Linked DNA regions of Daphnia pulex. The protein of the gene in region 4 binds, or shares a complex with, the protein of the main gene of each other region. Links are inferred from orthologs where the notes say so. Each region holds a gene or a part of one and is shown on either strand. Other genes may lie near its edges.

Evidence for each region.
Region 1: exosome complex component RRP42-like (region 4) and exosome complex component RRP4-like share a complex: the UniProt entries of both Homo sapiens proteins name them as parts of the RNA exosome core complex. The link is inferred for Daphnia pulex from reciprocal best matches to the Homo sapiens genes EXOSC7 and EXOSC2.
Region 2: exosome complex component RRP42-like (region 4) and exosome complex component RRP46-like share a complex: the UniProt entries of both Homo sapiens proteins name them as parts of the RNA exosome core complex. The link is inferred for Daphnia pulex from reciprocal best matches to the Homo sapiens genes EXOSC7 and EXOSC5.
Region 3: exosome complex component RRP42-like (region 4) and exosome complex component RRP40-like share a complex: the UniProt entries of both Homo sapiens proteins name them as parts of the RNA exosome core complex. The link is inferred for Daphnia pulex from reciprocal best matches to the Homo sapiens genes EXOSC7 and EXOSC3.

Annotation. Positions count from the first base shown.
Region 1 is NC_060023.1:8,698,418-8,705,854, reverse strand, and holds exosome complex component RRP4-like, read left to right. Parts: upstream 1-2,613; 5' UTR 2,614-2,727; coding exon 2,728-2,846; intron 2,847-2,906; coding exon 2,907-3,144; intron 3,145-3,204; coding exon 3,205-3,339; intron 3,340-3,397; coding exon 3,398-3,568; intron 3,569-3,633; coding exon 3,634-3,768; intron 3,769-3,830; coding exon 3,831-3,911; 3' UTR 3,912-3,944; downstream 3,945-7,437. Other genes in the region: CDP-diacylglycerol--glycerol-3-phosphate 3-phosphatidyltransferase, mitochondrial-like, read right to left, coding at 585-787, 848-1,076, 1,142-2,047, 2,112-2,375; uncharacterized protein LOC124197887, read right to left, coding at 4,541-4,710, 4,779-4,968, 5,033-5,177, 5,242-5,323, 5,395-5,534, 5,617-5,926, 5,990-6,592. UniProt on the Homo sapiens protein: Non-catalytic component of the RNA exosome complex which has 3'->5' exoribonuclease activity and participates in a multitude of cellular RNA processing and degradation events.
Region 2 is NC_060020.1:3,911,393-3,918,618, forward strand, and holds exosome complex component RRP46-like, read left to right. Parts: upstream 1-2,674; 5' UTR 2,675-2,823; coding exon 2,824-2,911; intron 2,912-3,000; coding exon 3,001-3,114; intron 3,115-3,175; coding exon 3,176-3,297; intron 3,298-3,363; coding exon 3,364-3,504; intron 3,505-3,586; coding exon 3,587-3,778; 3' UTR 3,779-3,812; downstream 3,813-7,226. Other genes in the region: serine/threonine-protein kinase D1-like, read right to left, coding at 1,633-1,764; uncharacterized protein LOC124192298, read right to left, coding at 5,859-5,983, 6,051-6,174, 6,262-6,319, 6,390-7,081. UniProt on the Homo sapiens protein: Non-catalytic component of the RNA exosome complex which has 3'->5' exoribonuclease activity and participates in a multitude of cellular RNA processing and degradation events.
Region 3 is NC_060019.1:5,893,276-5,901,587, forward strand, and holds the start of exosome complex component RRP40-like, read right to left. Parts: upstream 4,864-8,312; 5' UTR 4,778-4,863; intron 4,777-4,777; exon of another isoform or gene 4,715-4,776; 5' UTR 4,634-4,714; exon of another isoform or gene 4,396-4,633; intron 4,322-4,395; exon of another isoform or gene 4,235-4,321; intron 2,160-4,234; exon of another isoform or gene 1,963-2,159; intron 1,894-1,962; exon of another isoform or gene 1,734-1,893; coding exon of another isoform or gene 1,667-1,733; intron 1,531-1,666; coding exon of another isoform or gene 1,394-1,530; intron 1,303-1,393; coding exon of another isoform or gene 1,211-1,302; exon of another isoform or gene 1,079-1,210; coding exon of another isoform or gene 1,078-1,078; intron 1,073-1,077; exon of another isoform or gene 1,043-1,072; coding exon of another isoform or gene 633-1,042; intron 570-632; coding exon of another isoform or gene 262-569; intron 182-261; coding exon of another isoform or gene 28-181; intron 1-27. Other genes in the region: bifunctional peptidase and (3S)-lysyl hydroxylase Jmjd7-like, read left to right, coding at 28-181, 262-569, 633-1,042; uncharacterized protein LOC124191515, read right to left, coding at 8,311-8,312. UniProt on the Homo sapiens protein: Non-catalytic component of the RNA exosome complex which has 3'->5' exoribonuclease activity and participates in a multitude of cellular RNA processing and degradation events.
Region 4 is NC_060020.1:2,139,021-2,146,940, reverse strand, and holds exosome complex component RRP42-like, read left to right. Parts: upstream 1-3,136; 5' UTR 3,137-3,280; exon of another isoform or gene 3,281-3,343; 5' UTR 3,344-3,389; coding exon 3,390-3,446; intron 3,447-3,568; coding exon 3,569-3,765; intron 3,766-3,835; coding exon 3,836-4,001; intron 4,002-4,068; coding exon 4,069-4,263; intron 4,264-4,324; coding exon 4,325-4,480; intron 4,481-4,537; coding exon 4,538-4,639; 3' UTR 4,640-4,749; downstream 4,750-7,920. Other genes in the region: uncharacterized aarF domain-containing protein kinase 5-like, read right to left, coding at 4,750-4,852, 4,910-5,077, 5,601-5,844, 5,958-6,128, 6,189-6,354, 6,416-6,547, 6,623-6,781, 6,866-7,226 and 1 more. UniProt on the Homo sapiens protein: Non-catalytic component of the RNA exosome complex which has 3'->5' exoribonuclease activity and participates in a multitude of cellular RNA processing and degradation events.

The DNA.
Region 1 (7,437 bases), on a different chromosome or scaffold from region 4:
GGACTGCCATAATTTTATCGTTGGACCCCAAGTCTTCGGACTATCGATTACCAGCTACTATTGCTCGTGCTATCTTTTACTTTCGCTGACATAACGGTAAAATAGATGTTAACATTAAAAACTCTTGTTGTCCGTCAATAAATGCTGAGATGACTGTTTCTTTTCAAAAGAGATACATTTCGTTCATGGTTCTTTCAGCTTTTGACCTTCAAAGTCGTACGGAACTGTCGGTCGGCACCAATTCACGAAAAACGCTATAGGGTTAGAAATAACGCTGGGTTATGCCTTTCATTATTTAAAATCATTTAGTTTAATGTAAATACGATAGTAAATACGATGAATGCAACCGTCAAATTGTTTTTTTTTTTCTTTTACTTTCACTAAAAGATACGAGCAATAAAATTCTTGAATTTAGGTTCGTCAAAGTAGTAAACATGCAACTCACGATTATGTAAAGAGAATTGCATTTCTATTTCTCACTCCATCGTTATTCACGGAGGTCAAAAACAAACAAATGGATCGGATCACCGGGAGTGCAACAACAACAACGTCTTAAGATTACTTTGCTGTTGTTTGTTTGTTTACTAGAAGAATCTCCGAAAAACTTTGATGACGAAGCGAACCCACAAGGGTATCTTTCTATCCGGGTGATCAAAAGTCGTACCGTTGACCAGGTCGCCTTGCTGAAAGAGATTTCTCCGTTCTCGATGAAGCTGATCCCGTAGGGTAGGATTGATGGTCACTACTGCCAATTGCGCTTCCAAGTCTCGATAAACAGAACGATATCCTACGGGCCAAAAAAGTGTCAGTCGTTTGAATTTTTGACAAAAATACGAAAACATGTTACCAAAGTTAGGAGATCCTACTAGAGTGAAAGAGGGTCGAGGATCTCCTCGATTAAAAGAGATCCACAAGCCCTTTGCATGGAAAGTCCAATTCTGTCGTTGATATTCCCACAATCGAATGCGAGCTTCCAGCGCTCGATCAACCACTCGTCGATAAAATTGGTAAGCCAGTAGAGTATAACCTGATGGGATTCCACCTGCGAATCCTTTCGCCCCGAAAAAACCATTGGCCTATTGGGAATAAATCAATCAAATTAAATGGGAGAACGTTTGTTTGAATGGTGATAGGGGCTTACCAGAGGATGTGCCATGAGAATGTGAACATTTGGCTGGGACGCTTCTAGCAAACTATCCATATAGTCCTGAGTCAGGTTGAAGTACCCGGTTGCTAGACATAATTCGGCGTTTGCCGGTACGTTTTCTAGAATCTCGCGCGTCAAGATGTTATCCATGTAAATGTTTAGCTGCCCCATCTGGACGAAAGGGAAGATCCAGGTGTCGTAAGCAGACGGATTCGGCCATTGAAATATCGAGGACGAAACATTTGCTTTTATTTGCTTTTCAAACAAGTTGTTGATTCTCCGTTTTGCTTCTTCTGTAAATTCAAGCCGATTGGATTCAAACGGATGGTGAGGAAAAGCGGAATTCAAGTTAAGGCAGTTGTTTTCACTTAAATGAAATGAAAACTGGCACACAGTTTCTACTAGTTGGTCAAAGAAATCCACTAAATCTTTGCAATCTTCCATAATTATGTATCGATCTTGCCGATTTGTGAAGTAATCGTGGCTTAAATTTGCGCCACTGATTAATAAGGAATCGTCAAATATGTAAATCTTCATATGTTGCAAGCCAATAATTTCATTCCATCTTTCTGGGAGAATTTTCTTTAATAATCCTCTAAGTGCTGGAGTGTGATAAAAATGGACTGAACACTGCTGGCTGTAGGACTGAACTAAGGGAAGCAGCATTGTACGGGAATTGAATTGGGCACCTCTAGAGCCTCTTGTTGCATCCAACAGAATTCGAACTTTCAGGCTGGAGCCAGAGTTTTTCTTCAAAGTACTTTCAATTGTTTTTACAAGCTCATTTTCATGATTTCCTGTTCCAAGATATAAGGATGCAAAAGTGACTCTTTGACTTGCTTGACTAGTCTTTTCAATAAGTGTTTTGTAGAAATCTTCAGGATCAGACAAAACTCGAACCTAAGAAAAAATTTTACAACTATTACTAGAAGACACTAATAAAATACCTTATTAGAACACTAACCTTATTTCCGTTCACAGGGAAACAAGGGGTTTTACTTCCGAGCCATCTGAAATTTTCAAGGGTCGTTAACAGTTCCGTTCTCTGCTGTTCATCACTGTCGGGTTCCATTTCGGGACGATGCTGGAGATGAAGTGATCTCGAGACAAGGTTACGTTGCCAACCTCTGCGAGCAGTCTTGGGAAGGAAGTGCCAAGATACTCGTTGTCGCCCAGCAACGCATATCGTTGTTGAAAAAAGTATTGCTTTTTGGCAAATTAGTGACATTTACTTGTACGGACGAATGAAATGAATCGGCATATAAACAAACAGACATCTGATGGCAAAAATTAATACTAATGTGATTCGCGCAATGTTTTATTTGATTCGTTAAAAAAATTTCAGTTGACTTTATATTTTCCATTTCGAACATAAGTTAATTAGTCGATTTAAATTGCACAATATCATTTTGACAAGAATATCCACAAATATTTATATTCTTAAATATTTTGATATCGCCATAGCTTAGGCAACGTAGCAGCATGGTATAGCAGAACACGATGAATTATTGTCATTTTCAAGTGTGCTGTTGTTTCCTTTTTTTTGAACTTGATACATTAGGATAATTAAAACCAAAAGAATGGTAGACATTCGCCTTGCTTCTGAAGTGCCTCCTTTTCATATCGTCGCTGATTCTACTGAACCCAAACATCTTGTCACACCTGGCTCTTTGATCACAAAGGAAACAGGATTCATGAGGTAGATTGTTAAAAGTTTTGCCATTTTCTTGATGATAATCTTATTTTATGTTTTGCTAAGGGGTCATGGAACATACATGCAAGATGACTGTTTGTACTCCAGTGTTGCTGGAGTTGTGGAGAGAGTCAACCAACTTATTTCAGTTAGACCCTTGAAATCTCGTTATCATGGGGAGATTGGAGATGTCGTAATTGGTAGGGTTACTGAGGTTTCACAGAAACGTTGGAAACTGGACACCAATGCAAGATTAGATTCAGTGCTTCTTCTTCAGTCAGTCAATTTGCCTGGTGGTGAACTCGTAAGAAAGACTTTTTATTTGTGCAATTACACAAATATTTATATCTCATAATGCTTTTAGAGAAGAAGATCAGCAGAAGATGAATTAGCCATGAGGCAATACCTGAAAGAAGGAGATTTGGTCAGTGCAGAGGTTCAAAACATCTTCAATGATGGAGCTCTTTCTTTACACACCCGCAGCATGAAATATGGAAAAGTATAACAATAAGTTATTTAAAATATTAACTGTAATAACAACCATTTATCTGTTATAGCTTTCCCAAGGTTGCCTAATAAAAGTTAGTCCATCTTTGATCCGAAGACAGAAGACTCATTTCCACAACTTGCCTTGCGGAGCAAGTATCATTATGGGTAACAATGGATTTGTTTGGATCTGCCCTACGCTCCTTGACGATGGCGCCGGTGGATTTGTTCAAAACTTGGAGGTGCGTACTAAAAAGTCGATGTTTGTACATTATCACGTGGAAGCTAATTCTGTTGAAACCTATAGACAGTTCCGCATGCCGATCGACAAGCTATAAGCCGGTTAAGGAATTGTGTGACAGCTTTGGCGCACTGCAAGATGATGATCTATGATACCAGCATTATGCATGCCTACGAAGCCTCCGTAAATGCTGGGCTTGAGGTAATTATTTTTACATTGAAACTAAATAATTCAATGCTAACTTATATAATGCTTTTATGTAGATCAAGGATCTTCTCCTACCGGACAAGATAAAAGAAATCGCTTTAATGGTTCGTAAGCAGTTCGAAATGGAAAAAGAATAATTTAATTTTCGAATAAACATGGCTCAGGCTGAACCAGAAGTTGACATTCGATTTCCCAAACATTAATGGTGTGGATCAGTTTATTCATACTGCAGACAAAGTTTTATTCTGGGGCAGGGAAAAACATAAACGAAGAAACATTCGATAATAAAGGCGGTTTTTTTTTGTTTCCAACTACAACCGGTTTCCCAAGAATATTAAAATTTTGTAGACTTCATTTATAAGTCATCCCCCCCACAAATCATATTTACATTAAAACAAGTGTGCTAGAGAAAACCAGGATAAGATCTGCCGTAAGCACCACTCAACAAAATGCCCTGGGCTAGTTTTGAAACACCTAAAAAGATTATATAGGATAATAAATTACTAATGGACCCCGTTCCCTAGGTCCACCAAGGAAGGAAAAAAAAAAGATTTAACCGGAAGTCATGTTAAAGCGCTGCTTTAACAAATCAAGCAAATAATAATTAACAAAAAAAAAAAATAATGATAAATAGAAACAATGAATATCTAGCGAAATTCCGTGACGACGAATGGATAACGATTATGTTTAGGAGGGCTTCACGATTGGAAAATGTCCCGTGTTTTTAGATATTAGGATTCCACCTTGATTAGATGGGTTTGTAATCTTAGACGCTCTTGTCGGGTCCCAACCAGCGGCGCATGAGGAAGTAGAACACGGTGCAGATGTACAGTAATAAGAGAAGAGCGCATGTGACGGCCAACGCCAGGACGGACGTCTTTGTTGGGCAAGTGCTGTTGAATACGGTCACCGTCTCTTCATGGACTGTGTAAGTACCTACATTTTTTAAATCAATTAGAATTTCATTCCTATCGTGACCGATTCAAATTTCCCGCCTATCTTACTGTTGTTGGGGAAATTGGCCGGCAAGGTGGCAGTCTGTCGGTGGCTGAATTTCGTATCTTCATCTCCAAAGTCAAGAACGAGGATTTCGTGAGACATGGTCATGTCCTCTTCGGTTTTTTCAACTTTCTCGGCGCTACGGCGCTTACGTCCCCAGGATTCCATCGTGTCTCTTCCCCATTGGCAATTAGCCTGCAATCCATCAATGGTTCGTTATTACATTATTTGAATTGAAATAGGGCGTATACGATCGTACCGGTTCGCAAGGTCCTAGACAGTATCGCACGTTGCACTGAAAGATGACACCGTAGCTCTCGGTGAAGCGGAAAGCTTCGTAGGTGCTCTGCAGAGCAGTTCCGTCCGGAACGAAGCGAGGGAAGATGGATGGATCAGTTGGACAACTATTAAGTAAATGAATAATTATTAGATTTTGTTAAGCAATTTAATTCAAGATTTAATTCTTACCCGTCGTCGTCGATGATCTGGAAGGTACTTCTGGAGTCTTTGGCCATGGCAAGGCAGCTGCGAGCGAAAATGCCGTATGGTGCTGAGTTTTTAAAAAAGAACAATGATGTTATTTTCATGTTGCAATATTAAAATGATAATTCCGTTTCATACTGTTGCCGGGAATTTCAATGCGGAAAATGAGTCGATCTCCGATACGAACAGTCTCGACATCGCCACCGGTGGGATCCAAAATGCGGATGCGTGGAGGTGGGGCAGCCGGTGCGGAAGTGATGCTGATCATGTCCGGATCTCTGTTTTCCCAAAAATTAATTAAAAAGAGATTAGATAAGGATCGGATGGAGAGGGAATGAAGTGGTTATGATGTTGTTATACCTGATGGGCATCATGCCGAAGGAAACGTTGCGCGGCGACATGTCGTAGGTGCATTTAATCTTGTAAATCTTGTCTCCTTTAGTCATGACGACGCTGTGGTGCTGGAGGACGATGGTGTTGGTGAACATGCCCGACATGGATTGGGTGTTACAGTCACCGCCGTTCATGGTCAAGTCCAACCGGAAGCTGTCGCTATTCTGGACGTCGATGTTGCAAGTTTCACTGCGGCCAAGAGCGTAAACGCGCCCGCTGAAGGGCCGGTTGGTTTTAACGAGAACCTCGATCTTGGTATCACGACAATGAACTCCGACTAAAGATAAGATTAAAATTCGAATATTGTTAAGTATTATTATTTTTTTTATTAATTGATTACCATCGTAACAGGTTCCAGTACGGTCGCAGTTGATGTCACTTTCGGTAGGACCGGTTTGATCGCCTCCGCTGATTCCGCCTGATCCATCGCCAATGAGCCCAGTGTTGCTGCCGCCGCTCCCACTGCCAGTTGATGCAGTTGATCCAGTTCCCAATTCGGTTCCAACGTTAAGACTTGGGCGAGTAGGGCGAGTTGGGCGAGGTGTGCTGACGCCGCTTCCAATTGATCCGCCACCAGTTCCGGGACTTCCACTTCCGCCGCTTCCAGATCCACTGCCGCCAGAGCCGGATCCGCTTCCACCAATTCCAGATCCAGATCCGCTTCCGCCAATTCCAGATCCAGACCCACTTCCGCCGATTCCGGATCCACCGCCAACATTTCCAGATCCACTTCCTCCAATTCCAGATCCGCCACCAACATTTCCAGATCCACTTCCGCCAATTCCGCTTCCTTGACTTCCACTTCCGCCAATTCCGCCAATTCCTCCAATTCCTCCTGATCCACTTCCGCCGCTTCCCCCGATACCACTGCCGCCAGTTCCACCGTTTAATCCGCCGCTGACGGGATCCTGTCCGCCGGTGAGCTCACCAAGTCCTTCAGGACCTGTAACAGGAAAGCGACAATCAACCGTTAGTTATTCATAACATCAATCACAGACCTTTTCATATCTTCATCATGCATAATCATTCACATGCACATCGTGAAGTCGAGTTCTTTCTTCTGATGGCTCCCCCCTAAAACTTCTTCTTTGTCCAGGACTGGAAAGCTGAAAAAATGACCTGAAGCAATGTACAACGTTCTCTCTCTCTCTCTCGTACACATTTCCCACAGTTTTTGTCTGCTTTTTGTTGAGCTATGGCTCCCGCGATGTGCTGGGACTAGACATTTATGGGCGGTTCAACCCCCCCACAATTATTGCCCAACTTATATATATATATCGTCCATACCGCTTTGAGAAAACTCAAAACCTGTTTGGACTGACAAACTTTTGCGTCTAAAATTTTAAAAAGTAGAAGGACACATCACTTTCTTTTTTTAGTTCCACGATAGAATTTGTGGACGTGATTTTGGACAGTGCGTGGTGGTTAGTTTGAAAACATTGATCAACAATGTAAAACAACTTATAATGAGATTAACATATGGACTAATGGGGAGAGAGAGAAAAAAAATAACCTTGTCGGGGACAGTTATTAGAGAACTTCGTCTTTGACCATGTCCTTTGCGGGTGGTTGACCACTTCCCACCGTCGAAATCATTGCGGCTTTTTATTTGGAGAGAGAGGGGAAAAGAAGACATAACTCAGGTTGTCAGGTAAAGCATGGTATAACAACACTATTGTCTTGTCAAAAACCATTCTATCTCACCCCCCCCCCTTCTCTCAGACTGTGCGTATTTCCGTCTAGGACTTTGACCAGGGCCCTGGGAATCTGAAAAAAAAATAGTGAAGA
Region 2 (7,226 bases), about 1.8 Mb from region 4:
TGTTGTTTGCTCCGACTGCTCACTGGCCGCGATCCAGGGATTGAATCCACATTAAGCCACACCCCCCTCCCACCGAGAGAGAAAAATACACAGAACCTCAAAATGGGTCAAAATCACGACTCGACGTGGTAAAGGAAACGGAAGTCTCGTGTTTTGGGGTTTGGAAAAGAACATTCGTTCATTTTTTCGATTTGAAAAAAGAAACAAACCACTATTTCTACTTCCACTATTGGAGAAAATAATATACAGTTGGGAAAATACTACAATCAAAAGAGACCACCGAGATTGACTTCCACGTTTTTTTACGATTACAATCCCCACCCCCTTTTCTGGCTCTTGTCTGTTTTTTTTTTTTTATTACAATTCCATTTCCTTCCTCTATATATATATCGGGAGTGAAAGGGGGATGTGCTCGAGTCGATTTGCAGAGTTGTGACGAATTCCGCAACGGAGCAGATGGCAGCACTACAGAAACACGAATAGAATAACAAAAGAGTTAACGGGACTGAGTGTGCGGGAGGAAGTCTGAGGGAGTTGTAGTTTGCAGACGTCGCCGAAGGCAACTAACTCATTAATCAAATCGTCTCGTCACATTCAGCTGAGATGGACGAGAAGGGAAATCTGGGAAAGTTCCCAAAAATAAAAATAAAAAAAACAGTCCTCTCACACTCCATAAAAAAGAGGCAAGAAAATCGAACAATAATAGTTTCGGCTCAGATCCAAACGCCAGGGTTTTATAAAGCGTGAAAGCATGATCCCGACAGTGTTGAGATGCTCAAGAATGGGGAGGGCAAAGCTCGTGCATATCCGTTTTGGAAATGTGCGTGATTCTTCTTTTTAGGCTCCTCCTACTAGACTCCCCAGCGGACGAGTCATTTCCCCCAAGGTCAACATTCTATGCGTGTGAGTGAGTCTTACAGACGAATCACGAGGATGGAAAAATAAAAGAATAAGGGGGCAACGAACATCAGCTACAACATCGTCGGTCCTTGTGACGGGGGTTCTAATTCCCATTGTTGTTGACCCAATCAAGAAAAGAAGCCCAGAAGGTTTTTTTCCTTTTTTCTATTCGTAGAAAGATCCGCCGGAAAAAGGAAATGAATCTGGAGAGGGCAAAAAAGGGCGAATTGCGTGAACAAACTGATGGGACTAGGATTCATTCGCCAAAATCCTGGATAGTAACACAGAAAACGTCAGCAACAGCTAAAAGCTTGAAAAGGAACGAGTTTCATCAAATATTTGACATGTCAATGCACAAGACATTTTTCCTTCCATCTCAATCATCCTAAATCCAATATCGCAACGTGGCTGCTGAAGAAATCGATTGGCCCCCTCTTGAAAAGAGATTATTTCTAATCATCCAACCTTATTGATCATTTAAAGCAGGATTGTGTCAACAGTTCCCAGTGGAAGTGGATGGGAAAATATGGAGAAAAATTCCGAATACAACAGCTTAGCAACTTAAAAGGCAAAAATATACACGGCAAACACACTTAAGCAACGACAGTGATGACGTAATATAATCAAAACAAAAAAGCTCTCTGGTTACTACAATAAAGGCGTTGTCAGGTGTATAGTGATGCATGGACGTGGAGGTAATTGGATCGGCGTGTAATGTTCAAAAACACTTACCCGTTGATTAATAAAGTTGCAGGCCAAATCTTTGAGCGTTTTCAGCGTTAACTGGGAGGCATCCGTGGAGATAAAGTCTCGTACCAGTCCAACTTGGAACATAAAGGTCACCTGACCATTACCATCATCCATGATGGAGCTTGGATCCAAAATTTTATGAAAAACACAATCACAATTATGGCGAAGTTTGACTTTTGGATGGCAGTGAAATTCGCACACACACAAAACTGGCCCTTTTTCGTTGGAATAGTCTGTGTGGTTGGTGTGTGTGTGTGCAATCAGGTGGGAGCAATGGAGTAAAAAAAAAAAAAAAACGGGTTCCAGCAACCAACAGGTTGATTGGAATGTCACATAGCCTCGGGCTGAGATCACCTTTTCTTTCGTCGTTCTCCCGCCCTGGCACCACTTAGATTTTTCCTTTTCTTTCTTCTTCAAAGAAAAAAGGTTGGGTTTTTACCTCCACTTGATTGCACGACAAAACTGAGCAACACGACTGTTTTAAAACCAACACAGATGGGAGCAGCACAACGCGTGATAACACGTTGGTGATGAAAAAAGTCGGTGCGAATAAGAGGGACTGGCTAATGGAAATGCCCAAACTAAATTCAATTAATACGCAGGTTTCCCAATCATGATGGCACACACAAAAAATTCACGTATAAACATCACACACACACACACACACACTAGCACACTTTACGTTCTCTCGAGAAATGCAGAAACAGACTCACGTACGTGTGTGTGTGTGTTTCTGACCGTGCAGCTCAAGTCACGATAACTTGGTAGTCTGCCGAGCTAATAAATACTGTCGCTACTCGGAGATCCGTCTTTGGCTTGCTCACAATTTTCTGGCCAAAAACAGCGTTGCCATTCTCTCGTGACTGAACGAACGAAATCCATGAAAAATACATATTCATAGCTACATTGGAAAATTGTGAATTTTTCAGGTCTTCTTTATTACAAATATAATAGTTGTTTTAAATTCATGGAGTTAAAAGTTATATTTTGTGTGATTAAGTAAATGGTTGCCATGGTAACTTAGAGACATCTGCAGACTGCTGTTGCCGACCCGTCAACCCCATGTATTTTTTACGATCACGTTGCTTATGCAGAAACAGGGCTGCGTTCTTAATCTGAATTATTGAATACTTTTTCAATCACAAAGAATTGCTTGCAATATTATTATTCGCCATGGAGACTGAAGAGAATAGCATTCGTGCTTTAAAGTGCGAACAAAGCGTACTGTCACGTGCAGATGGCTCGGTGATGTTTTCTCAAGGTAAGTTTAGATTTGTAACTTTTTCCACGCTGTTTTCGTGTTATTTTGTCCAAGTCGGTAAATTTTATTTTATTGACTTGTCATTTCAGGGAATACTGTGGTAATGGCTTCAGTTTATGGACCTTTGGAGGCTAAAATTCAAAAGGAACTGTCCGATAGAATGTACATTGAACTAAACTACAAGCCAAAAACAGGAATGCCAGGTTATTAATAACTTATCCTGTGTATTATTATTTCTGTAATATTGAATGCATTTTTATTTAGGTGTTGCTGAGCGTGGAAAGGAGAAACTCATCAAGACCACTTGTAATCACATTATTTTGACGAACCTGCACCCTCGAACAGCTGTCTGCATAACAGTTCAAGAAATGCAAGATGGTGGAACTGTAAGCACTTACCACAACAAATTTATTTTGATCAAGAATTAGTTGTTCACATTTTCCATAAACTAGTTGCTAGCAGCCTCCATCAATGCTGTGTGCCTTGCACTTCTTGACTCGGGTTTACCCCTGCAGTGTCTTGTAGCTGCAGTGACTTGTTTGGTAGACAAGAAGGATAGAATTGTCCTAGACCCATGCATCAGCACAGTCAAAGTATGATTTCCACTAAGAATTAACTAATTTTTTTCCCCCATTTTTTGTTGTTGTGCCTAACTTACTTTTTTCCCCATTACAGGAAGGTTATAAAGCAATGTTTACCTTTGCTTTTGACAGTCAAAAATACAACTTAATTCTGAGCCACTGTGAAGGCCAAGTTCCCTATCAACTTTTTCAAAAAGCCATGGAGCTGTGTCAGAAAGCCAGTCACGTCATCTTTGATTTCTACCGGCAAGCAGTACTACGAAAGTTTTCCAACGAACTTCTGTAAAACTTTCAAAAAATACACATTTTAAAGTTTTGTATATGCGACTGAAAACAAAGTATAATTGTATAAGTATAGGCTTGCTTATTTCCAGTATCGTTAAATTTCTTCGGAAAACCAATCCATCCTAATATGTCATGCGCATCTAGCAATACTCGAGTAATCACGTTCACCAAAACTATATCTAGAAGGTTTCCTGCCCGGAGCTTGGCTCCAATGCAATGCGGTACAATTTTGACACAAGTTATTTAGGTATAGTAAAAGTGCCGATTGTGAAATCAGAAAAAAAATAAACTTAACTTTGAAACAAACTCTTCTTAGAATGACATATGGTAGGTAGTTCTACCATTTTTAGGATTTATTCGGTCGGAAAATGTAGCATAAAGGAATTTCTTTTATGGTTATTCTGAAAATTTATTTCAAGGTGGTCTGGATATATCGAGTGCGATTTCAGCCTTTACGGTAATAGGCCTTGAAATGTTTTTCTCAATTAGAAAGTTTAGCCAATTAGGCTGTCAAGTCAAAGTCAACACAAATAAAGCAATTCTAAATTTAAGTCATGTATCACCTGATTCCAGTTTCGAGTTATTTTCCGATTGTTCCATTTCAGTAGCAATCGTAATCATGATTGTGGCTAAGTAAACGTTATCTTGTGTGTGGTGTCCATTATTAGACAAAAGAATCTAAATTGGTCAGAACACTTTGAAGAGATTAGAAATTATTAGTTGATTGTCAAAATGACTCAAATAATTTAGAAAGTGTCACTGCTTCGTTATTCGTCCTTTAAAACAATTTAAAATTCCTGTATTGTCCTACATTCATTGCGTGGCCCTGTGCTTTGTGTGCACGCAGATGTATATTATAATGTGATGCCCGTGCCACTTTGATCGATCCAGCACGATTCAGAAGGGGGGAAAAAACCCAGCACGAATTTTATTTTGAGTCGATCGCGTCTTAAGGGTTAGGGAGCTTTTATTAACTTTCTCGTTGATAGTTCGATGGTCACTATATACTGCCGGCTCTACAGAAAAACTAGCGGGACATTTCAAGGACGTATTGTCCCTTTTACTTTTTTATCGATTCCTTTGTCAAATTCTGAAATAAATTTTTTTTTCCCCCTCATGCGTCTCAACGAGGTTGGTCAGATCGATTTATTCGTAGTGTATATATACAGGAATAAGGAACTCAAATAAAAACTGGGTCGTCTTATATATATGTCCAAAGAATTTGTTGGAATCAATCAATCGGACTTTCTTGTGTGTACGAAAAAGTGTAATAACAAATTCGTGGCATGGCATATCAATAGAGAAAGGGGCGGAATTTTGATTGCATTTTTGTTGTGAGTCAATGACGAATAGCTGCAAAAAAAGAAAAAAAGAAAACGGGATCATGGAAGAAGAAGAAATTGACGTTGCTAGGTTATATTCTGGATGAATATTTGATTCCGGGGACGGCCGCGCGGATAGTTCAGCAGACGGTACGACTTTATTTGATGCTGGCCAAGGCCAGCGGGTGAAAACGCGAAGAAAGTCTTGAACGAGATGAATGAAGAGGAAAGCTTCGTCGTGAAAGCCATTGATAATGATATGATTTATCTCAGTCAAACATGAGAGAATGCCCACCGGAGATGGCGAGCTGCCCCAAGAGAAATCAACAGACAAATTAAAAGGCCATTGTATAGGTGAATTTCTAGTATATAAATACAATTATGCATTCAGCGAGAGAGCGACGAAACTTTACATATAGTGTACAGCAAGTAGGTTGAAAATACAAAGTGCGTATAATCAAACATAGCTTGTCCGCAGGCTGCTGTTGCTGGAAAACATTCGGTTAACAACATGCGTATAACACTGCTCTGCTGCTGCTGGTTCGGGTTCCAAACCGTATAAACAGACACGTAATCTATATGCGTCAAAAAAGGTGCCAACTCGTTGCTCATTCCAGATGGTACGTAAGAAAATAAAATGGATGCCTTTATTTAAAAACAGACAACAGATAGTTTTCCTTCTTCCACGAATCGCACGATAAAAACGCAGAATATTATTAAGCGAATACCAACTTCATTTTTGAATGTGTATTAAATCTTTCAGTCAATTAAAGTTTCCATTCCAGAAGCCAAGACCATTTCTCGGGCCATCTCTCCAAAGGGATAAGGATACGTTTGAACTATTTTTTCGTCAAAGGAAGGTGTTTGATTGTAATTAGGATCCACTGAAAAGAAAATGAAACGGTTGAGTCTAAAAGAAAAACAAATAACTGAGCGAAATGTAGGACGCACGATAACTGCGATGATTGATCATGAGATGAATGGTATCCAGTGAACGCCAATCGAATTCTTTTTCGGTATAAAGATTTAAAGAAAGAACAAGATCAGCTCCGAATTGCACTTTCACTCGATGAATCTAAATCAACGATGTGTTTCAAATGGATGCGTGATTTATTCAACGTTCACGATTTCACGTTTCATTTTTTTTGCGGTTTCTATTTACCAATTCCGGGTGATGAAACAAAATTTTCGTTGTCGGTCGCTCCCCTGCATTGTAATACCTGTGATCACGCAATCGGAAAATCTTTTGAATAAGCCGTGAATTGATTGAATGAAATAACTATAATATACCACAATTCCGGATGATATTCGTGATAGGAATCGAGCCACAAGGGCAGAAAACGAGATTGTCGATTAGCGACGATCACCTGAGTCCCGAGAAACTGTCCTTCGTCCCAATTGATGGCCAATTCAAATTTGCGATACTTATCGAGATTTTTGATGACGTAGACGTCGTTATCTAAATAAATTCCGCCGTATTTCATTAGAGTTTTAATGCGTGCAATGTCGCCACCGTGATAAACTCTCAAATCGGGTTCAATCTGTTGGCCAAAGATCTCGGACGGCGGCTGCAGTGGCAGGATGCGGATGCGCGATCTTAGCTCGAGATCGTTTTCAATTAATTCCCAGTACTTGCCTCTGAATGTTCGCTCTGCTGCGTCTGTGTGAATGTAGAAATGCTCGGGTCGGTGGTTGCGAAAAGCCGCCTGAATGCAAATGTAATCGATAAAAGAGAATTCCGGTTTGCTGAACCGGATCAAGTGGATGATGTTCGGAACGATGAAGTGCTCGGCACCAGTTTCGTTGTTAAAATTCACAAATGACGACTCATTTTTGCTGAAACGTTGCTTTTCAAGTGTGAAATGGAATAATGATTCCAGGAAGGTAGTCGTCATCATTAGAATGAGACCTACAAGTAAAAGAACGGCGGATGAACGAAGCACATATCGCAACGAAGCGCTCCGGATGAGCAGCAGCGACATTGTCAACGTTATAAAAACCTATAACTAAACTCAATCTGGCACAAAGTTCTATCTGCTTTGTGGGAGAAAATTATTTTTATTTAGTATTTTTTTTTTCTCTCCGGGGGGTCTATCACACACCTGTCACAGGTGGCCGCAGACGAAG
Region 3 (8,312 bases), on a different chromosome or scaffold from region 4:
TTTCTCATGATGATTGAAATAATTTAGAATTTTATCTTACAACGAATGTGCCTTATCTGGAAGAATTGCCCACTTGCTTGGAATTCTATAGAAATTATGTGGCTCAAAATCGGCCAGTGATTATCCGTAATGCTTTCAACAGCTGGCCGGCGTTATCGAAATGGAACATTGAATACTTAAGGTTTTTTCCCCATTCATACTATTGTTATTTATCAACTCTTAAGTCTTATCATAATTTGACATTTTTTTGTTATGTTAAAGGCAGTCTTATGGGACAAAAGATGTCACAGTAACCATCACCCCAAATGGTTATGCTGATGCAGTCACAAATGGACACTTTGTTCTTCCCCTGGAAAACGTGATGCCCATGAACCAGTTTTTGAAATCACTGGAAAACCCTGTCGTAAACAGGGTGCACTATATTCAAACACAGAACTCCAATCTCACCAAAGAGTTTGCAGAATTGATAGCTGACTCTGCAGACGAGATTGAGTGGGCCTCAACATTGTTTGGCACCAAGCCAGATGCAGTCAATTTCTGGATGGGAGATGAGCGGGCAATCACATCGAGTACCATTACTTCCATCAGTCAAAATATCATAAACTAATACAGATCATTTTTCCTATTCACAGTGCACAAGGATCCCTATGAAAACATGTACTGTGTCGTTTCTGGATACAAAGACTTCATTCTCCACCCTCCCACAGACCAGCCATGGATACCTTATGCAAATTATCCCAAAGCTAGTTACCAAGAAATCGACGGAGATTTGAAGATTGTTCCGGATGATGACGGAACCATTCCTTGGATAGATATCGATCCTTTGAAGCCCGACTTGACAAAATATCCCAAGTACAAAAATGCTCGGCAGATTCGATGTCGCGTTGAGAAAGGTGAAATGCTCTACCTGCCCTCGCTTTGGTTCCACCACGTCCGCCAGTCTCACGGCTGCATAGCAGTCAACTACTGGTACGATATGCAATACGACATCAAGTACAATTATTTCGAATTTGTTAAAGACCTGGTCAACTGTGATGCGTGATTTGCCAATAAAATGTCATTGCCTGTTGAACGCAGAGACGATTAAATTCTATGATAGGAATGTATTCTTGATATCTGGAAATCAATGGCACAAGACTAATCAATCCGGCGATGGTGAAACGAACGTAATGCTTTCTTATTAATTATTTATATATAAAAATTCCAAATCCTAGGATGTTGTTGTTTCTTCAGGAGAAGGTGTTGTGGTGGTGGTGGTTTTGAACGACTGAAAAGTGTCCGTGACCATCGGTTCTGTAACGGCTATTTTGGAAAAAATGTTCAGCATTAGAACTCTAAACCAGCATATCTAAAAAAATAGACAAAAACGTTGAAAGTAAAAATGTGTGTATACCTGGACGGAGAGCAGGATCGTTTAGATAGAAGAAAGTCGGCGACAAGGCGCAATCCACTTTGTCAATGTCCTGACATGTTAGCGTGGCTTGGTCAAACAGTAGCCCGGTTCCACACGTAAAAGTATGCGACACCACTCTGTATAATGCAATCGTGTTTTTTTTTTTTTTTTTCGTTTGTTTTAAAATTCTAAGCTCTCAGATATTTGGAAATAAGATATTAATCTTAGACTTGTCAAACGACTAGACACTCTGCTGGGTGTCGGTTACATTACCTGTTCTTTTTCCCAACTCCACAGGTATAGAATCGTCTGCAGCCACTGGACACGTCGGCGTAGAAGCCTCCGCCTCCGCCTTCCTCAAACGAGCACTTTTTGGCCAGAATGACTACATTGATATCCTTGGTCCATCTAATAAGATCACTCGAAAGACCTTACACCCAACTCAATTGTTCAATAATGTTCCTCCCTGGTTAAGAAGAGTAAAAGGAAATGAGCATCAGGTACTACAAAACTCAAAGATTTTAAAGAAAAGAGTAAATCTGACTATGTTGTTTCAAACTTAATTCTAGGTCCTGTTGCCCAAGATGAAATTTGTGCAACGAGAAGATTACCCCTCACTCATCCAACAAAGTGGGGCACGCTGAACTCTAGAATAAAAAAGCTTTACAAATATTTGAATACCAAAACAAAGTCACCCTTCTGGAAACATGCTTAGTGAATTTGTGTTTAAAGCAGTAATAAAAAAAATACATGAATAATAATTTTATTATAAATTGCTTATTATCTGAAATCTGAATGCACATTGTGTAATTAATTAGACTTCCAAGTTGAAAAGGCTCACTTTTGAAACAATAATTGCACTTCACACAGAATTCATGTACAGCAAGGTAACAATAAAGAAAAACGATAAGTCTAATCGAGAGGGGATATTACATGATGTTAGTCGTCGAGCTCGTTGATTTCCAGCTCAACGGAGAAGACGGCTTCCCAACGATATCGTACAGCTTCAATCTAATATGTTCAAAACATTAGTAGGATAAATAAAGGATTAATAATAAGACGGGACAAAACAAAGGAGGGAATCAAAATTTAATCACCAGTTGATCAACCGCCTCTCTAGTAGCCAAAGAAACTGTCCATTCGAGAAAATAATACCGGATCTGTTCCGGTTTGCTTACGATTACTTCGAAGTTTTCCTGAATAAAGAAAACAACCAAATGTAATGCAGGTGAAATAGACAAGATATTGGCCGTCATTTTACCAAAGAGACGAGATTGACAAGTTGCTGAAGGCTGAGAAGCGACCCTCTCCCCCTCCCACCCCACGTTCAAAACTGAACTTGATGGCTCGTCAGCCAACGAGGATCACCACATACTAAAACCATACGATAACTTGTGACCATCAAGGCTGTGTTGCTATAACTGGCCGTTTGCTGGTGATTTTTCTGTTGCTTACTATTGCCCCATTCGACCCGTCAGTTTACACAAAAGAGGAAGACGCGAGAATTGCTATCCGGCATGAATCGGGTACTCGTCCTCGTAGATCCTACACTACACCGTCCGTTTCACCTTCATCCGCAGATCCCGTCAAAACAGTGTCCTGATCTCCTCTGACGGAGTCCAATCAAAGCCAGCCATTGATCCGCCATGAGTACCGTCCTTAACGGCGGAACAGTAAATCCGGATTTCTCAAGAATATCTAAACCGCAGAATATTAGCTAAATAAAAGAACAACACAATAAAAATGATTTACCAGTGAGAAAGTGAGTCACGCGTTCTTGGTTCGTCTTTGATCACGAAGCAAAATGAGGTGAGACCAACTCGTTCCGAACTTCAGAACAACACCTCGGTTACCGATGACGATTAACATGTTAACTAGTTGATTAAGCGGGTAACTTGTTTCCAAACTGAGCCACTTTTCTGGCTGCTCACTGTTAATAGAAGCGAGTCGCATGATTTTATCCACAACCACCTCGACTTCCTTCTTCCGAAGTGTCGGAAGCCTCCTTACCGCTGATGGTGGGTGAAGACGGTTCATTGGATGCTACGATGACGTCACTGCCCGGAAGATTACTCGAGGATGGAGTTGATTCAGACCCAGACACGTCATTATTAGGAACTACAACTGGGCTTTGCTGCTGCTGCTGTTTACGACCTATTAACAAGGCATCAAATAAAACTGTTTGATCTAACACAAGAGAACTGCGTTACCTTTCAAAAGAGGAGAATAAACTGTAGAACATCGCAGCTGGATAGCCGCTCCAATCAAAGGGAATTTTCGGTCGCATTTCATGCAGCTCATATCGTCTCTCAATAATCGATCCTCTCTCTCCGGATTGGCAACTTTTGACGATGACCCAGAGCAGCTAGCGAAAATCTTTTCCAGCTCCTAGAACAAAGGAAAATTAGTAACAAGATTTGACATTTCAACACGTAAATGATAATAAGACATTAAAATCGTCTTGTTCCTTGCGTCGCTACTATTGCGAATTGATTATAGCACAGTTAAAAATCTTGAGAAAGATATGAAGAAAAATATTGTGAGGTTACACACCACTGGTATCACACTGAATGTTTTTTCTTTCGTGTGAATGGTCAAATGTTTTCAGACAGTTTAAGTATTTGTGCGGACATTACGGACGGGCCAGTTTTTCATCAGTGATCTCGTATGTTGACGTAAGTTGGATCGGTCGTAAAAACGTCACATTTAAAGGGCTTCACTCCCTGATGTTGCCAGGATGACGTGAAGTCGCAAATAATCACTGCCTAAAAATGTTTTCACACATGTATCACAATTCACAGGTGCTAGCTTGGTCCCATAGTACATATTCATATGTCATACCAAAACATTCTTGTGATGAAAAGACTTTCAAGCATCTTTACATCCATATTTTCTTTGGTGTGTTGTGTCACTAAGCTCAGGATATTCCTGTAAAGAAAATATAATTATTAATGCTAAACCGTTTAGCATTAATAATTGTGACATTTTATCAAAATTATAACCTTATTGAATGCTTCCAAGTTAAAATCATCATCTCCATTCTCATCTCCGTTGGAGCTCCCTTCAGGGTTATCTTCTGCTGCTTCCTCACTCTCCCTTTTTATGTCATCAAAATTTTCTCTCACCTCAAAGATTGCAGGAGGCTCATTATCATTTTTTACAGCTTGTTTTATCATCTACAATGAAATTGGGATCACTTTTTCTTGCCTGTTTAAAATACACATCAAAATTAAGTCACACCATATCCGAGTCCATCTGCAGTGTCACTTCTTTAAGCACCTGTCTTGCGATATGGACCAGGCTTCCAATCTTTGTTCCAATCTATAAGGTTTTGAATGCAATTTGAGATTTAGTATATCAATACATAATTATATATTCTTCTACCCTAAAAAGAGGAAAGGCTGCTCAAAAAAAAGGAAAAAAAAAGTGTCTTTGATCTTGGCCTTGCTTTTGTTTACAGCTGTCGTCTGCTAAAGCGGCGGTTAAGCACTTGAAGATGACAGTCGTAACGATGGCAACCAAACGCGATGATTACACCAGATAACACGTAGATCATGTTTTGATTGTTTTTTAATTAAAGAACTCGAGGAAGGGAGTTCGCCTTGCACCTTCGTAGAGACCTGACGTGCATTCTCTTCTCTCTCTCAAAGTGCCAGCAGACTCACGTACTCACCGTATATACGCCCCCCGCTTTATTCCGACAGACAAACACGCGCGACCCCCCCCCCCCCCCCCACAGGCCCCCGTGTCAAAGCAATTTCCGCGCCAGGTGCCACCAACAAAATGGCCGACCGTGATGCCCCACCGCGTTCGAAAAGACCGTGCAACTCAACAGACCACCCCCTCCCTGTGATAATCAAACTCATGGATGACCGTCCAAACTTCAAATCAATGTCCTTAGCAGAACGTGAGGCCATGCGAAAAGCCATTTGCACAGCCATTGGGGACCCCCGGGACTCCACGGTACTCCCAGGCGGCGACCTATCCGTCAGCCCTACTGACTTGCAACAACAACAAGTACTACTCAACATCAAGACCCTGGCAGGCAGACCAACATCTAGCACTCTGCCCACCCGGTCAACAGCGAGGAAGGTAGGAGTAATTTTTGGTATCCCGATAAGTGACGCGGAGGAGGAGATTCTGGAAGCTCTAGCAGACCAGCACGTGACACATGTCAAACGGCTCCCGATCCGCAACTCACCAGGCTCCCCCTCGACAACAGTATCACTTACCTTCTTGAAAGAGGTCCCAGACAGGATCAAGATAGCGTCAATCAGCTACCCAGTAAAGGTATCGGTACCAAACCCATACAGATGCAGGAACTGTTGGAGACTCGGCCACACCGCCAACAGGTGCAACGCTAATGGCCCTAACTGCAAAAGATGTGGCAAACAACAACACGAGACACACCAAGAATGCTCAAGAAGGTGTATTAACTGCAACAACGGAGATCATGAAGCAGACAGCGATCAATGCCCTGCATACCAACAAATGAAGAGCATTATTAAAATGGCCTACCTGGAGGAAATCACCATACAAGAAGCTCGATCCCGCCACGCAAATCTGTACAGCTCAGTAACCAATCGAACCCCCACCCCAACCAACCGCCCCGCACCGCCGCCAACCCCAAGGAATGACCTGACAACCCTACAGGACCAAATAAAGGCCATCCAACAAGAGATGTATACCATGACTGCAGCCACCATTCCACAAATCCAAGTAAACATCCAATCGCTGGCGGTCGACCTAGAAGACACAAACAAGAAAATTAGTAAATTCGACCAACGGTTCAGCAGCATTGATAAGCAGCAACAGATCAACATGCAAATACAGCAAAACAGATTTGACAGGCTGGAAGAACTACTAATGGGGAGAGTTACAGACAGGTCCCACTCACCCCCACACGTAACAGCGGACCCACTGAGGACTACTATGAACCCTAAACTGCTACACCACACAAATGAACAGAGCCCCATGTTCAGCACAACCAGCCAATGGCCAGACGACATGGACACAGAAAATGATAAGTAGACACACAGTACACCACTCACGCACTACCCCAAACCCAACAAATAATTTCAAATGCCTCCAGTGGAATGCCAGAGGGCTCACCAAAGCCAAACTAGAAGAATTCCGGCAATTCCTATCCTTAGTTAAACCTGAAATAATCCTCCTCAGCGAAACGCACTGGAAGAAATCTTTCTACGTTAAATTCAAAGCCTACCATATCCTCAAGAAGAACCGCCCTAACAGATCAGGGGGAGGAGTAGCAATTCTAATTAATAAACAACTTTCGTTCACCCCCTTGCCCCTTACCCCACATGACACCGTAGAAGCCATCGGCGTCAGCATCCTATCAAGAAGCAACTCAAAAATCGATTTCATTTCTGCCTATGTTCCCAAAGGCGACTGTGAAATGGCTGACGTAGCGGAAATTTTCAACAGACCCAACCCGGTGGTTATTGGAGGGGACTTCAACGGCCACCACGACATGTGGGAAAGCAACGCAACCACCAACACAGCAGGGAAGACCATCTTCGAAACCATCCTCAACAGCCAAGACATATGCCTCATAACACCTACTGATCTAGGTACAAGGATCGATCCGGCAAGCGGGAAAATATCCACTATCGATCTAACTATGACATCATCTGAACTCGCCACCTCAGCAACGATTTCAATAGGTCCAAGCCTAGGTAGCGACCACCTCCCCATAATCCTCACGCTCAACACGACCCCAGCTCGAATCTCAAGACAACCGCCCAAATGGATCATCAACGAAAACAAGTGGGCAGACTGGAACCACCTCCTAGACACCGCACTCATAGAACTCAAGTTCTCGGAGATCCAGAACCCAGAAGCAGCCACTACAGCTTTCATGACAGGATTGAACGGAGCAAACGAAAAATGCTTCAAAAAATCAAACCCATCACGGGCAAGAAACTCAGAACCATCGCGGCCCTGGTGGAACGCAGAATGCAACACACTAGTGAAGAACGCACGAATTGCACTCAAAAACTGGTGCAAATCACCTACATCGCTACACCTCAGAACGGAATGGAAAAAAGCCGAGGCCCTGAAAAAGAGACACATCATCAAGGCAAAAAAGGAAGCCTGGTCCTCCTTCATCTCGAACCTCGGCCCGCAAGACCAACCCCGCCTCTGGACTTTCACCAAAAGCATGCTAGGAAAAGGATCTAACCTCTCACCAGACGGCCCCCTGATCTCAAACAACAACACAACGATAAACAGCCCGAAGGAAAAGGCCGACCTATTCCTCGACCGATTCAGCAGTGTGTACCCAGCCAATCTACCAACTAACGACCACTTCTACGCCACCATCAACAGCAACATAACATCCACCACCCACAACATCCTGAACGATCCAATCACACCGGAAGAACTCGAGAGATCCCTCCCCAAATCCAAAAGTAAAGCGGTAGGAGCCGACCTAGTCAATAATGCCATGCTCAACAACCTGTCACCGAAAAACAGGACCCATCTACTACACCTATTCAACACCCTATTTTTGAAATCCCATCAGAGCAATAGATACCTGGTCGGTTCTCGGCCGTGTTGGCTTCCCTATCCCGGTTTCAGGGTAAACGTGGTCCGATTTGGAAAAAATGATGAGCGCCTCTAGTGAGTGTGTCAGGTACTACGTGAAGCCAGCCAATCAGGAAGGGTCTATGAAAAACTCATTGACCAATCACAGCTTACTTTTCTACAAGAAGTGAACAAAATAAAAAGGTAGAAGTATCCAACTGTCAAACCTCTAGGTCTTTTCTAAGTGTCCCAACATTCTTACATTTTATTGTTTGGTTGCGTAAATTGTTTATTCTTTGTAAGTGTCCAAACATTCTTACATTTTATTGTTTGGTTGTGTAAATTGTTTATTGTTCCGTTGACATAATACACT
Region 4 (7,920 bases):
GGCAACCTGATCAATGTCAGGTTTGAAACAGTTGAGAACTGCTAGATAAAACAAGCTTTCTGCACCAAACAAATAATAACTTGCATATAACTTGCATCATGTTATTATCGCGGTAGAGAAAGCGACAGGCCCCCCCCCCCTGGGGGCCACAGGAAAAATGTATATGATGTATGTAAAATATTATAAAAATAAATTTTGTATGCAATAAAATATTCGTATCAATCTTTTTCGCGATAAAATTTTTAAAATTTCGTGTAAGGGGAATTTTTTTAAATTTTTTTTCAAAAACAAAAGTCTAGACTTAGCAGAAATAATGGAAGGTGGACTTTGAATTTTTCTGAATTTTTCAGTTTGTTGGACTTTGATTTTAATGAGAAAATAATTTATAAAAAGGAGTTTAAATTTTATTGAAATGTAAAAATTAGTTTGAATATTTTATCAGTGTATTTGGCAAGATCAATAAGTTTACATATAGCACTCAGAAATATTTTCACACATCATGCAATTATCGGCAGGAGAAGGTATTTAAGGAGAAAATAGAAACATGTGATTTATCAATTAATCTTGTATTTCAGCAATCTTTCACAAATACAGAGAAATACTTCAGAACTTAGGTGTTTAGGTCGGAGCAGTGGTGATATAGTAATGAAAATTGCAAAATACATATGAACTTAAGTTTGGTAGTTTGGAGCAGGGCAATACTTAAATTCGTCGATGTAGTGAACTAGGCAGCGTACGTAGTTGTGTAATAAGCGGCTTCTTCGGTGTAGTACTTGGGGGCTGCGGTGTAGCGTAGGCCGTGGTGTAGTGAACTGGAGCATCAGTGTAAACGTAGTACGAAAGAGCAGCTTTGGTGTAGCAAGTCGGAACTGCGTAATACTTGTCCGCCTCAGTTGTGGTTGTGTAGATCGGGGCAGAGTAGTACTTTGCCGCTTCGGTGTAGTATTCGACTGTCTTGGTGTAGAAATCAGCGGAAGCCTCGGTGTAGCAGCTGGGAACAGAGTAGTATTTAGGAAAATCGGTGCAATAAGTAGCTGAGAACAGGGCAATACTTTAGAAGCCTCGGTGTAGTAGGATAGGCAGTATATGTAGTCGTGTGGTGTCATCCATCGCCTAGATGGTGTAGTAACTCAGAGCAGAGTAATACTTCAGGGCATCAGTGTAGTGAATCGGGGCAGCGTAAGTTGTGGTATAAAACTCCGGTGCTTTGGTGGTGTAGTACTGGAAGACCTCAGGGCAGGAACCGGTCGTTGCGTAAGTTTAGTAGGAAGGCGGCGACGTTGCGGTTTGATTTCCGCCATACCAAGGAGACATCGCTACACCAGCAATCAACCCAGCCATCAACTATACAACGCCCAACAGGAGCACGACGCCATAGTTGACTAAACAAAATAAATTGAAACATTAATATTAAATAGTAACAGGCATATTAACAAATAGAAAAAAATATTATTGATACAAAACTCAATGTAAAAATAAGAATATTTACCCATGATTGCGAATCGGTTACACGATGAAGAAAGCAATTGGTGGTCCTTTTTTTGAAGACTCCTTTAACGCACAGTAATACTTCGGGACGTAGGTGTAGTAGCTCGGGGAAGCCAGGTTGTAGTGTAGTACTTGAGCGCTTCAGTGTTGTAGTAATGCGGGGCCTCGGTGTACTAGGCAGGGGTAGCACACATAGACGTGTAGAAATCCGGTGCCTTAGTGATGTAGTACTTGGGAGCCTCGGTGTAGTAAACTAGGCAGCATACGTTGTTGTAGGCGGCTTCTTCGGTGTAGTACTTGTGGGCTGCGGTGTAGCGTAGGTCGTGGTGTAGTGAACTGGAGCATCAATGTAGTATTCCTGTTCAACGTAGTACGAAAGAGCAGCTTTGGTGTAGCAAGTCGGGACTGCGTAATACTTGGCCGCCTCAGTTATGGTTGTGTAGATCGGGGCAGAGTAGTACTTTGCCGCTTCGGTGTAGTAATCAGCGGGAGCCTCGGTGTAGCAGCTGGGAACAGAGTAGTATTTAGGAAAATCGGTGCAATAAGTAGATGAGAACAGAGTAATACTTAGGAGCTTCGGTGTATGAGCCTCGGAGGATGGGGCAGCATGCGTAGTCATCTTCCGTCGCCTTGGTGGTGTAGTAACTCGGGGCAGAGAAATACTTCAGGGCGGCAGTGTAGTGGCTCGGGGCAGCGTAAGTTGTGCTATTCAAGTCCGGTGCTTTAGTGGTGTAGTACTTGAAGACCTCGGTGCAGTAACTGGTCGTTGCGTAAGTTGCTTTTGGGTAGTAAGGCGGCGGCGTTGCAGTTTGGTATCCGCCATACCAAGAAGACATCGGTACACCAGTGGTCGACCCAGCCATCGATGATTCAACACACAACAGCAGCACTACGCCATAGTTTGCTAGACAATTAGCAATTTTAACATAAATATTACATAATAACAGGCATACATAAACAAAAGAAGGATTGATACCAAACTCTACGTAAAAGACAGAATATTTACCATGCGAATTGACAGACAGAGCGCTGCAGTTGTTGCCGTGTCGGAGATGCTCCCTCAACTGATTTACCTTCGCCTTTTCTCTCGCCTTTTATACGATTTTTTCTCACCCTCACCTCTTAAGCCTTGCGGTTATTTTACCTGCTTGATAATGATGCTACACGTGTCGTTCTCACCCAGCCTCTACTCCACTGCATGACACGTTTTACGTAAAGATCTCCGTGACCTTCAAGTGTGACTGTCCTTTCCTTTTGCAGGTCGGACGTTGCTGGGGATGGGTCTACAACAACCAATATCAAAATGAATACCAAATGGTTGTGTAAAACGTCTCGTTCTCACCCAACCTCTACACCATTGCATGACAAGTTTTACATAATGATCTCCATGACCTTCGAGCGTCAAGGACATGCAAAAGCTGGCCTTTCCTTCTGGAGGTTGACGTTGCTGGGGGGTGGGTCTACAATCAATAACCAATATGAAAATGAATACCAAATGTTTATGTAACACCAAGGGTTTGGAGAGGTCTCTCCATGCCCATGGTAAATGGTAACACGTATAATGTAAAACGTATGGTAACACGCATAAAATCATGTATAATGTAAAAATAAATGGCGTGCAATCAATGTGCGTACTGTAGTAAAAAAACGCAATTGGCAAATAAATAAACCAATTAAATCTGTCTTTAGAATCTGAACCTGACGGATGTCCGACAACGTTGCCCTAATGTAGCAGACAACTGTCGAGTGCAGACATATACAAACATACTAGCTTGAAAACTAGTAAGGTCTGGTAAGGTTTACAGTTTACTTACATTCCCGTGGTATTTTGATTAAAGTCATCTGCGTTTGTTAGTTGTTACTGTTTTCTGTATCGTTGGTTACCTTTGAGCTCCATATCAATGGCAGAAATACTTTTAAGTGAAGCTGAGAAAGCATTCATTCATCATGGTGTCCAGGTATAATTAAATTCTGTCGGTCTTGCCAGTAAAATTTTTTGGTCTGTAATACTTAAATCAATCAGCTCTTATAAAAATAAATTGTCCTTACTTAACAAAATTCAATTTTTGAAATATCCAAGGATGATTTACGATGTGATGGTAGAACAAGGCTGGATTATCGCCCTATAATTCTTGAAACTGGATTAGTTTCAAATGCCAGTGGATCGGCAAGGCTGAGACTTGCAAACTCTGATATTCTTGTTGGAGTTAAAGTAGAGCTAGCTTCCCCTTTACCTGATAAGCCCAAAGAAGGAAGGCTGGAGTTCTTTGTGGATTGGTCTGTTTAAACAATAAATATAAATAGAATTTAAAAGTTTTTATGTTAATAGTACTTTTTGTTAATTTAGCTCTGCAAATGCAACACCAGAATTTGAAGGGAGAGGTGGAGAAGATCTGGCAAATGAAATTTGTAGATTCCTTCAAAGATCTTATGCTTCAGGTGATACAATTAATTTATCTGAACTTTCTGTCTTGACAGGACAGCAATGTTGGGTCTTGTATGTTGACATATTGGTAATGCTGGTGTGATATTTCTACCAATCAACAATTTCTCATGAAATATTTTATGGCATTAAAATAGATTCTTGAATGTGGAGGGAACCTTTATGATGCAGTTTCATTGGCTGTGAAATCGGCTCTTTATGCAACACAAATTCCTTCTATTAAAGTAGCAACTATGGACGGGGATCAACCTGAACTGGAGCTCTCTGATGATCCTTATGATACCAAGAGACTGAACACAGAGAACATTCCTTGTGTAGTGACTTTGATGAAGGTTTGAAAGTTAAAGTTTTAATTTTGAAATATTTAGTCGAATACTGTGTTTTCACTTTCAGATTGGAAACCATTACCTAGTAGATCCAACACCAGAAGAAGAATGCTGCAGCTCTTCTGGTATTGTTGTGGCGGTCTCAGGCAATAAAAAAGTTACTGCCGTTAGGAAAATTGGCTCCGGAAGTTTGCATCCAGACAGCCTGGTGTCAATGCTCAAGGTTCGAAATTTTTCTATTCTTTACAATCCCGCAGTCTAATGTTTCTTGTTTGAGTAGACGGGAAGTGAAGTAGGCGCGGTGGTCAACACAATTTTGATGAAAAAGCTCCTAGAAGAAGAAACGTTGGAAGTATCCCAAAAAGTTGGCTTCATGCGGTAAATGTCTTTTAACACAAAAGGATATATAATTGAATATTTCAAAGGAATTCTTGCAATTACAAATTTCACGCGACATTTGTGTCCTGCTACTAAATACAATTTCTAATGAAATCATTCAACCATTTGTACGACAATTGTCATATCAGGTGCACGACCAAGCCAAAATAACACACGAAGGCCCCAAAAGGTGAGCCTCATCTGTGTTTTATCCCACCTGTTAAAAAAAATTCACTGAGTTATCACGTAAATGAAAGAGACATCTTAAAATTACCACAATCGCCAGTCAAATAGAAATTGTTGCAAGACTCCTTGTAGACGTTGACCAAATGAAGCACCAGGTACGATGAAAAATCCTCGAGTAGCACTTCTGGCCATCAATGTATAACGATCGACAAGACTGCCATGGTCTTTGGTTATTGCCCTAACTGTATTTATGTTCCTTTATAAAAAAAAGGAAAAAACAAAACAAAACATAAAATAAATCTGTTAATTTTAACTTAGAAAGCTGCCCTTAGTTAAAACCAGTAGGCTGATACAAATTTATCAATTTTGCTGCATCACACAGCTCTCTAAGGATTACAGCTTATTGTTAATTCAATATCCAGTATTACCTAATAGTTAAAAGCATTGTTCTTGGCATGGAACGAAGGTTATTCATGATCATGTCGAAACGCTGCCCCGCCATTTCTTGCATGTATTTCAAATCAGTTTCAGAAAGTTGATTTAAGTTGGATAAAGCGAATTTCTGATTTCCGATGGGTCTTTGAAGAAGCATTTCAGCGAAGAGCAAATAGTCTATACAAAAAAGACCGCGAAAGAGTTTCTTCGTTTTATCTTATTTAAAGTTTCAATTTTAAAACAATTCTTAAATTAACGTATTGATGCAGCAAAATTGAGAATCTGTTGTACGCTTCCTGACCTAGTTCTAGACCAACAGACCAACACTGCAATCAACTAAATACCTAAAAATGAGCATCAATTGAGAAGGCATGGCCCGGAAGCTATCCATCATCCTTTCATGAATTTCATCCATTTGAATTCGAATTGCTTGACGTTGTTCGGTTGTCATCTTCTGCCATTCTCCTACTTTCGGCCCCTTGTGATCGTAAAACGAAGCAAAGACCTGATTCACTGAATCGTGTTCAGTTGGCCATGGTGGCGCTGAAATATAGCGCTGTGACACGGCCATGCAGAACAATCGGTAATCTAGTCATAATACAAACCCATTCCAACTTTCAAAATTGTTACGAGAAAAAATTTGCCTAACGAAGTTTCAAATGACAACGGAAATACTGATAATAGAAAGAGAAACTACTAACCATTCACTCCAAGGGCAGCGGCATGATGCTTCATTCCGACGTGATCGTTTAGCACTATTGAAGACCACAAACGACAAAGAGATTTGCGAACAGTAGACGGAAGCTCTTCATATAATCCGTGATCCAGCAAAACTATCTGTGCGTCGCCTTTTTTCCCTCGACGAACTAAGACTACAAAGAGATAAGTAATTAGAGTCTCACTGAAACAACAAGAACCAATTCTTTGATTACTGTTTCCTGGGTGTGGATCAGCATGGACAAAACCAGTGTGAAAAATTTGTTCTGCAAACATTTCAACCAGTTTGTGGCTAACATCTTTTATTGAAAATCCTGCTTTTTCTAGACTGCCTGTATCACTCACTTTAATCCCATCGATAAACTCTGTCGTTAAGACTCGCTAAACAGTTAAAAAAAATTTATAATATACCCTAACGAAGTGAAATTAGTGCATATATTACCTTGCTAGTCAGATCCCAAACGACATCTGGGACATAAACATAAGGCAACGATGACAACTCTTTGGCACATCTTTCACCATTGTGTCCTTCATTGACAAAATCGAGTTCTTTACAAAGAGTACCCTTCAGATCCTGCATTAAATATACAAACATATCTTTAACCTTAATACATAATAGCATGATTTTTACTAGTTGTTTCGTTCGTACCTTGAGAACCCATTTAAATTCAAATTTTGGATGCATCCAACTGATCAGTTCTAGTAGCAATTCGATTGTAGCAATATCACCATTGAACCGATCCTGCAAGTCAATATACTGAACCTTTACAGCAACTTCTCTTCCATCTTTGCATTTGGCCCTAAACACCTGATCAAAAATTCTGATTATTTACACCTGTCCCTGCAATCTATGCAGTCTATTACTTAATCTATTACAACTTTATATTTATACTTGAGCCAAAGAAGCTGCAGCAATAGGTTCTTCATCAAATGCCTCAAATAATTCTTTATGGTTCTTCCCAAATTCTTCTTCAAACAACTGCCCAATCTCAGTGGCCCCTCTAGCAAGACATTTGTCCTGAAGCACTTTAAGTGTATTAAGATATTCTTTTGGTAAAATGTGATTCATGGAAACCAGGCCTTGTCCAAGTTTGATATACAATCCCCCATTCCCAAGACAGCCAGCCAGAATTCGGTCTGCAGTTCTTTGGTGTGTTTTCTTTAATTCTTCCTGATATTCAGCAGAGTCTTCATCAACATTTTTCAATGACCACCAATAGTCTGTTGATATGGTTACTCCTATCACAAGGGATCTTGAAATAAAATTTTAATTATGCTAGATTTCCATAAATAAAAACTTAGCTTATAGTACCTCAAGAACCTTCCTATTCCTTGAACTGTTACTCTGACTTTGCGTTTTTTTTTGTTGTCAGCTTGAAGATACCAGATCCCAGGAACAGCAAAAGAAGCTCCAAATAAAATACTCCATTTATTCTTAGCTACTTTTACTACTTTAACATTAGTTTTTGATAAAGAACTACACTTCCTTACAGGTTGACTATTTGTATTTAGATATATTGACTTAAATAGCTTAATAGTCTTTAGGGATGAAAACATGGCTCTCTCCAAATCTTGATATGGAATAAAATAATTGTTTTAGAAAAAAGAGTATAATCTAAAAACTATACAATCTTGAATCTTTCTTCGATTCACGCACTTTTTAAATCAACTCTGTTATGCAATTTTTTTTGTCTGCTAAATGTGCTATTCTGCAATTCAGTTACGTTACAACGGTGTCATACCACCATAGTTCTTTACAGAATATTTATTAAAACTTAATAAACAGGCAAAACAGCTATAAAGAAATAAGCCAAAAATTTAAATAGGCTAACTGAAATGATTTTTCATTATTCTTTATTTATTTGTTTTTTTATTTTGAAAGATTTTTTTTATTATTTTGAAAGTAACAAAAACGAAATGACAACAATGGTTTTTTTTAGTTGTTAT